2 linked regions of the Nothobranchius furzeri genome follow. The protein of the gene in region 2 interacts with the protein of the main gene of each other region in a pairwise test. Links are inferred from orthologs where the notes say so. Each region holds a gene or a part of one and is shown on either strand. Other genes may lie near its edges. The genes, in order: smad9 and lemd3.

The links.
Region 1: the proteins of lemd3 (region 2) and smad9 interact in binary tests that used the Homo sapiens proteins (3 or more experiments, as listed by UniProt). The link is inferred for Nothobranchius furzeri from reciprocal best matches to the Homo sapiens genes LEMD3 and SMAD9.

The regions. Positions count from the first base shown.
Region 1 is NC_091750.1:62,624,479-62,628,930, forward strand, and holds the start of smad9 (mothers against decapentaplegic homolog 9), read right to left. Parts: upstream 3,113-4,452; 5' UTR 2,896-3,112; coding exon 2,700-2,895; intron 995-2,699; coding exon 779-994; intron 700-778; coding exon 439-699; intron 356-438; coding exon 245-355; intron 169-244; coding exon 1-168. UniProt on the Homo sapiens protein: Transcriptional modulator activated by BMP (bone morphogenetic proteins) type 1 receptor kinase. SMAD9 is a receptor-regulated SMAD (R-SMAD).
Region 2 is NC_091741.1:64,250,906-64,254,448, forward strand, and holds the end of lemd3 (inner nuclear membrane protein Man1), read right to left. Parts: intron 3,490-3,543; coding exon 3,387-3,489; intron 2,689-3,386; coding exon 2,525-2,688; intron 2,275-2,524; coding exon 2,193-2,274; intron 2,099-2,192; coding exon 1,993-2,098; intron 1,835-1,992; coding exon 1,756-1,834; intron 913-1,755; coding exon 743-912; 3' UTR 529-742; downstream 1-528.

The sequences.
Region 1 (4,452 bases), on a different chromosome or scaffold from region 2:
AAAGCAGGCCAAGGCAGAATCGATTCTTGTTGTTGGATGGGTCTGTGAAGCCGTCCACCAAGACGCTACGGGACGAGGCATGGAAAGTCTCTCCAACCCGGTTGTTGAGCTCATAGTAGGCTACGGAGCACCAGTACTCTGGCTCTTCATAGCACACGGGTCGTAAATCTAAAGGCAAGAGAGTCTTAAAGGTGAAGAAAAATGTAATACATCAGCCTTGCAAGGGTAAAGTACCTCTGAGTACCTCTGTGTGGAGCAGAAAATGTAAGTTTAGTAGTTTCTGTGGGGTTGTTTGGCTTAACGTCATCTTGGGAATTAGTCTCCATCATGCTGTAGGGAGGAGGAGGAGTCTCAGCTGGAAAAGCAAATCACATAAAAAGTAAAGGACACACATTCATCAGCGTCCAAATCAACACATCTTGAACCTTTGATTCTTACCTGTTACGTGATATGGACTACCAGGCTCTGCAGAGCTGCTGGGGGAGTTGGGGAAACTCTGCGAGGTGGGCGACTGGGCGAGGGATGAAGCCGGTGATGAAGAGGAGAAGGAGGAGCAGGGCAGTGGAGGGAAGGAGTCTGGGTAGGTGGCGTTCTGGGGCATCAGTGGCTCGTTGTTCAAGGAGGCACTTCTAAACTTGGCCAGTAAACTGTGCTGCGGGTTGTACTCACTGTGACGTGGAACAAGAACTGGTGGAAGCACTAAAGAACGGGAGACAATAAATAAAAACTTAAGACTCAAGAACAAAACATAAGAAATTTAGAAATAATATCTAAATACCTGGAGTCTCTACTCGTCTGTAGTGGTAGGGATTGACGCAGATGTCTTTCTGCTTGGAGCCGAAGGGAAACTCGCAGCATTCGAGGGCCTTCAGCTCATGGTGGGACTGGAGGTCTGGCCAGCGCCACACCCTGCAGTAGATCACATGGGGCAGACCCTTCCTATGGGACACCTGCAGCCTTCCGTCCAGTGATCGTGGAATGGTAACACATTTACCTGAGGCATCAAAATCATCAACAAAACTTTAAAGCAACACTTAAGAGTTTTTATCACTTTAAGCTACTGCTTTCAAACTGGTTTCAGTGATTCTTGAAGCAGAAACTAGACCAAGTGTTCACTGAACAGCGTAACACTTTTGTGGCACAGGTAGGTGCACTAGGGGGAGCTCTCTACCTGCTTTATGGCTGTTTACATTGACCGTTGCTAATATAAATGCTGGCAGTTAGCTTTTTCAGTTTGCTGACCATCAAGAAAAAAAAAGAAAATATTGCTCTTCCGTTGGCATCATGGCCGAGTCTGGAAGTAAAAGTAAGAGTAATGTCTTTTAAGGTAAAGCAAAGAGCTAAAACCAGAGTGAACATCGGTGTGGCCTACATTAGTTTGAGGGATCTGAAGGATACTATGAAGTCACAGACTGATGGTGACCTGGCTTTGTTGCTACTGAACTTGTGAGTAAGGACATTTTTGGTCCAACAATGTGGATCTTTTTACTTAGTGGCTTATTTAGTATCAGTTGGCCCATTTTAGTGTTAGCTCATTGTTAGTGCCACAGCAGGCTGCGGCAGAGTTGTTTACGACCGTTGTAATTCCACTTTCAACCAGTAGGAGGGAGAAGTAGGGAATCTGATCTAGTGTGGCTTTAAATCTATTGTTGTTTGAAGGAGTGCTCAATTGCCAGAGAGTACATGGCCCAATCCCAATACTCGCACTTCCACGCTTGTGCCCTATTGGAAAATCATGACCAGGGGTGCTAGTGCATAGGGTGCCCTCTCAAATGCGGAAGTTGGTCACGCCCCTTTTGCACCCTTGAGTCATTGATGCAGACTTGGGTGAAGGGTATTACCCACAATCCATTGCTGTAAGACAAAAGGCTCAAGTTACATTTCTGAAAATATGTATTTTCTAATGAAATAGTTCATTTTAGGACGATTAGTTGATGCTCTGAAACTTTTACACAAAGCAGCAACAAATGTAAATTTATTTCAGATGATTGTTTGGTTGTTTGAAAGTTGTTAAAGGTTTTTTTTTTTTAAGTATTACAGCGACCAGCATCCCGGCATGCATTATGGTCTATAACGCAATGCTCCCTGTCTCAATTCAGCAATTATTTGCACACGCGTGTACCACACACTCGAAGTCTTACTTTGCCTTTGACTCCCTTATCCAGGTGGCAAGAGCTCCTGCTATACAAAAAAAAATCTTCTCCTTTTAGCTACACAAGGCCAGGAAAACAAGTTTTCAATGTGGCAAACAACTTTGAATTAAAATGGATATACAGGAATCTGTAATCAGAGAAGTTAGGAGAAATAAAAACAAAAAGAAACCATTTTGATGAATATGGGAGTCTGTTATTTTAGGTGGTATTTGATCTAATAAAAACCTTTGAGATAAAATCCCTAATAATTCACTCACATCTAAATATTCTATCTAACTAAATGTTGCTTTTTAAAGTCAAATTCACATAAAAATGGAAACAACTTTATTTTCTATGTCCACTTCATTTTGTTCAGGGTCAAAAAGCATCTGGATACTATTTGTTTCTAGAGCAGTAGTTTGATTACAATATTTCATAAATTTGGAAGTCTTCCATTAACTTACAAATATCCCAAGTTTAAATTAAAATCATAAAACACACAAAAATGGAATACCCTTCTGAACACCGCACTCCCTTATGTTAGGGTAATCATGTAAACACACTCACTGGGCTGCCCAGGACAGCTGAGGGCCCGCTCCAGCTCCTCCATCGCACCCTTCTTCTTCTTTAGTTTTTTCACTAAAGAATCCACAGCCTTCTCTGCCCACTTCTCCTCCTCATCACCTTGCTTCCAACCGAGCAGGCGCTTCACCGCCGGACTGGTGAAGGAGAACAACGACGTGATGGAGGTGGAGGAGTTCATTTTGAGATGAGTAAACAGGTGGCTAAATGAGCTGATAGGTCTGGTTAAAGAGATAATAGTTCCCTTGGGGACAGGGGTGAAGAGGCAACCGATGAGTAGCCACCACTAAGAAGAAGCAAAGAAAAAGCTTGATGGCTTTGTGTAAAGTTTTTTTCCTCTTCCTTTTGTATTCCGCTGTAACTTCCGAGCAGCTCTGGCGAGGGAGTTGAACTCCAGCCAGAGCTGTGCAAACCCTAAATCCTTTCTCTGTGTTGGCACAGAAGGGATCAGCGGCTTGGGATTTCAGAGCCTCCTGCAGGGATGGGTACTCCTCACATCGCCAGGAATCCGGGTCAAGTTTCAGTCATCTGGCAAAAGACATGAGACACTATTAACCTCAACAAATACACTGGGGAACGGTGGGATGGGAGGTTGGATAGCAGAAAGACCTTGAGGTCAGACCTGAAGAGATGAGACTAAACACCTCAGAACCAGAATCTACAGCAAGCAGGAGGAATACACAGAGCGCCTGCATAAGATCGCCCCCCCACCCAACCCCCTCACATGCTGAACAACATTATTTTTCTCTAAGGGGAAAATGAAATGCAAAACAAAACTTGCGTCAAAAAGTGCAGGCCAAGATGGCCAAGCTCATTCCCCAACAATGAGGAATGTCCTTTCTGGCCTCTGTTTCTATGATCATGCCACTGACGCCCAGGAGCCATACTGTCTGGCCAGAACACATCACAGAGCAGGAGGGGGAGACAGGGAGGGAGACAGACACAGGGCTTGTGTTTGTGTCTTACTGGACTAAATATTACCCAAATACCTGGAAAGAGGTTCAAAAGTATCATCAAAAACCACCTCTTGATTTCCTAAATACTCATGCAGGAAAGGTTCAAGACACAAATTGAAGTTTAGAACTTGTTTATCTTCCTTAAATGTAGTTTATGCTCAAAGAAAACATACTTTTGCACATCATCACTTCCCTCCTGCCAGCAGACGCCCTCCTTTTGCTCATTATGCATCTTTATAATTATGTTTTTCTGCAGCTGAAACTGACTTTTGAAAAGCTTTTTACATAGATAAGAAAAAATGTTAGAATAAGTTCAATCACTACGCTCTCATGGGTCGTACCTTGTTTGTGTTGGAAATGTGAGAAGCACTAGCTCCTGAGACAGGCAGACAGCTGAGGAGGTTTTAACAATGACGACAAAAAGCTGCATCACTCAGTCGCTGCCGCTGCTGCTTTATGGAGCCTGGCGTCATTCAGTCTGCAGCCTCAGATAGGCTAATTACCTAATGCTTTATCACCAGAACACCCCATCCCAAAAAAGTAAACACGCCAGCTTCCTTTTACTATCACTGCATCCAGTCATGATGCTGAGGCAAAACCCAGGTCCGGCTCTAGACTCTTTATTCTCACGCCTTGGCGGTCATCATAAACATGAAAAAACCATCCAAAATCAACATTGTAATTCTTATTTCCAAAGTTTCATGAGATTCACGAGAAAACACGGGCAATTTATAATTTCGAAATATTGTATGTTATAAAGTATATTTAACCATATTTAACTG
Region 2 (3,543 bases):
AAAAGTGGGAACTGATCACAGCAGCAGCGGAGACCGACTCAGGTGGCGTCATGATGAATAAGAACTTATGGGTGAGGATTCCTGCAACCTGGAGGTCACATGCACACACACGAAAGTAAAAACATCACATTTAAGATGAACAACTCAAGGAAAGAGGGTAAGTTACATAAATCCTGGACAATAGAACTTGGAATTACATTAGAATTAGTTTAAAGGCTTCATGTGACTGGAAAACATGAGCTCTGTAGGATCTCAATCGGTGTTCAAAGAAAGCTGGAATAAAGGAAATAAAACGAAAACAAGGTCGAGTCTTCCAGCTTCAGTGGTTGTTCTGATTTTAGTGTGTGTATGTGTGTGTGTGTTCTGATAAAGCTTGTGCTTCTAACTGCATTAAGAGCAGAAAGTTTTGATTTTAACAGTTTAAAAACAACTTCCACGTGAGACCGATGTGTCTGACTCTGTAACTAACAGAAGCAAACCCAGTGGGTTGAACTGTGGAAGAGGAGAGAGGATTGGTCTACAAACAGATAAAATACTCAAAGATTTTATTCTGACACTTGAAATATACAGTTTATATGTTATAACAGAACGTGCTCCACTCTGCTGCTTCTCTTTCGTATCCGCAGTGTGGAATAAAAATAATAATAATCCAATAGCAGGAGCAAAAGTCCTGAAGGTATTAAAATAGTGAGTGGGCCCAGCAGCAGAGTTCTGGGAGGAAAAAAGCAGAACAGCAGATGTCTCAGGAGAAGCTGGAAGAGCTGACTGACTCGTGCTGTTGATGGTAAGCTGCAGCGTTCGTGCTGTTCTGGTGGAGGCTGGAGGCCTTCAGGGGCGTGCTGCAGCCCTGGGCCTGTGGGAAGCGCTGGTGGTACCGGTCCAGACGCAGGTATTTAACCGTCACCAGCTTACCTGTGGAGCAAAAGCAGAACTTGAGAAAACTGAGCTGCCTCACAAAGATCAAATATCTCAACCAGAACACGTTCTGCCAAAACAGTTTCACTCTGCAGGAAATAGAAAGCAACTAAAATAAATAATTAAATCTAAATAAAGTCTAATGTGACACCAAGATGGAGAAATATATTCAAATGTTAAAACCAGAAAAACCAGCTACATATTCACACAGGTGTGCTTATAGATGTGGGAGGGGCTTAATCCCTGCTGATTGTTTTTATTTTCATAGTTATACTTTGAATCAATCTCACAGGACCGGTTTTAAACCAGACCGGAGCTAAAGAACAGAGCCTGAAGAGTTTCCAACAAGTCACCAAGCATCCTGACCAGAGACCTCCGGGCCTAGGTTTGAGGTTTGCTCTGAGCTTCCGTTTCAACATCCTACAGTAAACCTTTCCAGAGAGGATGAGTGTTATGATCCTCTGTCTGATCCCTGATTAGTGAGCAGGTTTGATCAGGTTCAACCTAAAAAAAACTACAGGAACTCAGGTGGCAGAAGAGGGCGGGAGTCTGGGTGTGTTGATCCCCAGAGATATAAAGTGGCTTTAAGTGAGCAGATCACCAGTCTCTTACTGGTGATCTGCTGGTCCTTGGGTATAGATTTATCAGCCTGTGCATCAAATATTATGTGGTGGCAGCATTTTAACACATCAGCCCAGAAACGAGCTGAAAGGATCAATGAGGCCAGTGAGACTAGAGACCCCATCCCCCCCCCCCCCCCCCCCCCCCCCAATCCTCTTAAGTCAGATTGATAACCCTACATGTGATATCTAAATAGAACATCAGACGCGTTTGGTTTACCATCAAACCAGGAGCCGTGGAGAGCTTTGAAGGCTTTCCCTGAGTGTTCTGGAGATAGACACTTCATATACACACACCCCTGTGGAGACAAGAGCATCGCATTACTATATGTGGAGCCAAACGGGTGTCTTCAGGACATTTCAGGTGGACCACATGAGCCTGTATAAGAAATGTTGGGAGACGTAGGGCCCATCGGACCTCTTTAGGACATTAGGAATGACTGTGTCTCACTCATACCTCACGTGAGTTCTTGTCAACAGCAACATGAACAATACCATCGTTGTCACTGCACTTCTCCAGGATGGCTTCTTGAATGGCTAAATCCCAGTGATCTCCAACCTCGCTGAACACAGTAAAATGAAATAATTATGAATTAAAACCACGTGTGAGAATCCAAAGTCAAAACAAGAACAAAGTGAAGGTGGAAATGAACTCACATGACCGGGTCAAACATATTCCTTATCTTCAGACATGGAGTGAGGCTGTTGGGAGGGGAATTCCTCCGGTCCAAAGGGAAAGCTGGAAACAAGGACGAGCTTTAACAACACACAACGATCTTCCGATTATCTCAGCTGCTCATGTTGCCCTGAGCTGAGGCTCTCGGGTCTGCTGCGTCGAGCAGACTATGGCATCAGTAACAAACATGGTTCCTGCAGGAAACAACCAAAGAACAAGAACCAGAACCAACCCAAAGTGCTGCTCACCCCCAAACACATGACAACATAGAGATGTAACCAAAGGAACCACCATTAGGATTTGAATGAGTCACCTTTTCCCTGCCATCCTTTGGATTTGTCACAACTGAGAGAAGGCTGGATCCACCTCCACACCAGGAAATCTGCTCCATCAATCCTCTGATTCTCCGTTCGAATCCTCGACTCATTGGCTGAAAGAAATCTCACGGCCCGCTCCCAGACCTTCTTCATCCTCTTCCTGTAAAGCAAACACATTCCTGACACATCCTCCAAAAGGTCAACGCACCGTTTCTGCTGCTCAGCAGGACCTAAATGTTCTGTAGTTATTCAGTTTTTTCCCCCGTCATTCAGGGGTCCGCTCCAGCAGAAAGTTCTTGAACGTGGTCCCGTTGGGTCATACAAAAAGTGAAACAGGAAACTTGTCTAAGCGCTTCATGTTCAGGTCGCCTGGTTGAACAGGAGCTGGTTCTACTGGTCCTCCTCTCCTCCCTTCTGTTGGGCCTGGTCTGAACCAAAAGACCCAAAGCCTTTTCACACAAGAGTTCTGAGATATGACTGAAATGGGTCCTGCTCCTCTTGGAGCGGTAGGACTGGATTGGGCCACAGAACCAGTCCCTAGTTTCTAAAATGGTTTTAATGTTCAGAACTCAGCAAGATGTTCAGAAAGTTAATAAAAAAAGATGATCACTCTTACATCTGATTAAATGAGGTGTATTGTGAACGGGTTTGAACTTTAACAGGTGGGTCCAACAAAACCAGAGTCTAGGAAACCCTGACCAGGACCAGATCTACTGGACCACCTGGTTCTGAGGGTTTAAAATAATTATTTTTATCATTATTAATAATAAAAACGGAACCAGGTAGATGAGCTCAGTCTGCTGAGTGAGAACAAACACGACGACACAGGGGACACAAGGAGGTACGGCTGGTACTCACCGGTCCTGAGGAAGAACCAGGGAGTCCCTGACATGTGGGATGGGAAGGTACGGCTGCAGCTCCTGGTTCTCCTGACAGGACTCACCACGAGTCCTCAAAACATCTGAACAAAAACAGCAGAATTAGGAGATTTAAGGGTCTTTATCAAATTTTATCC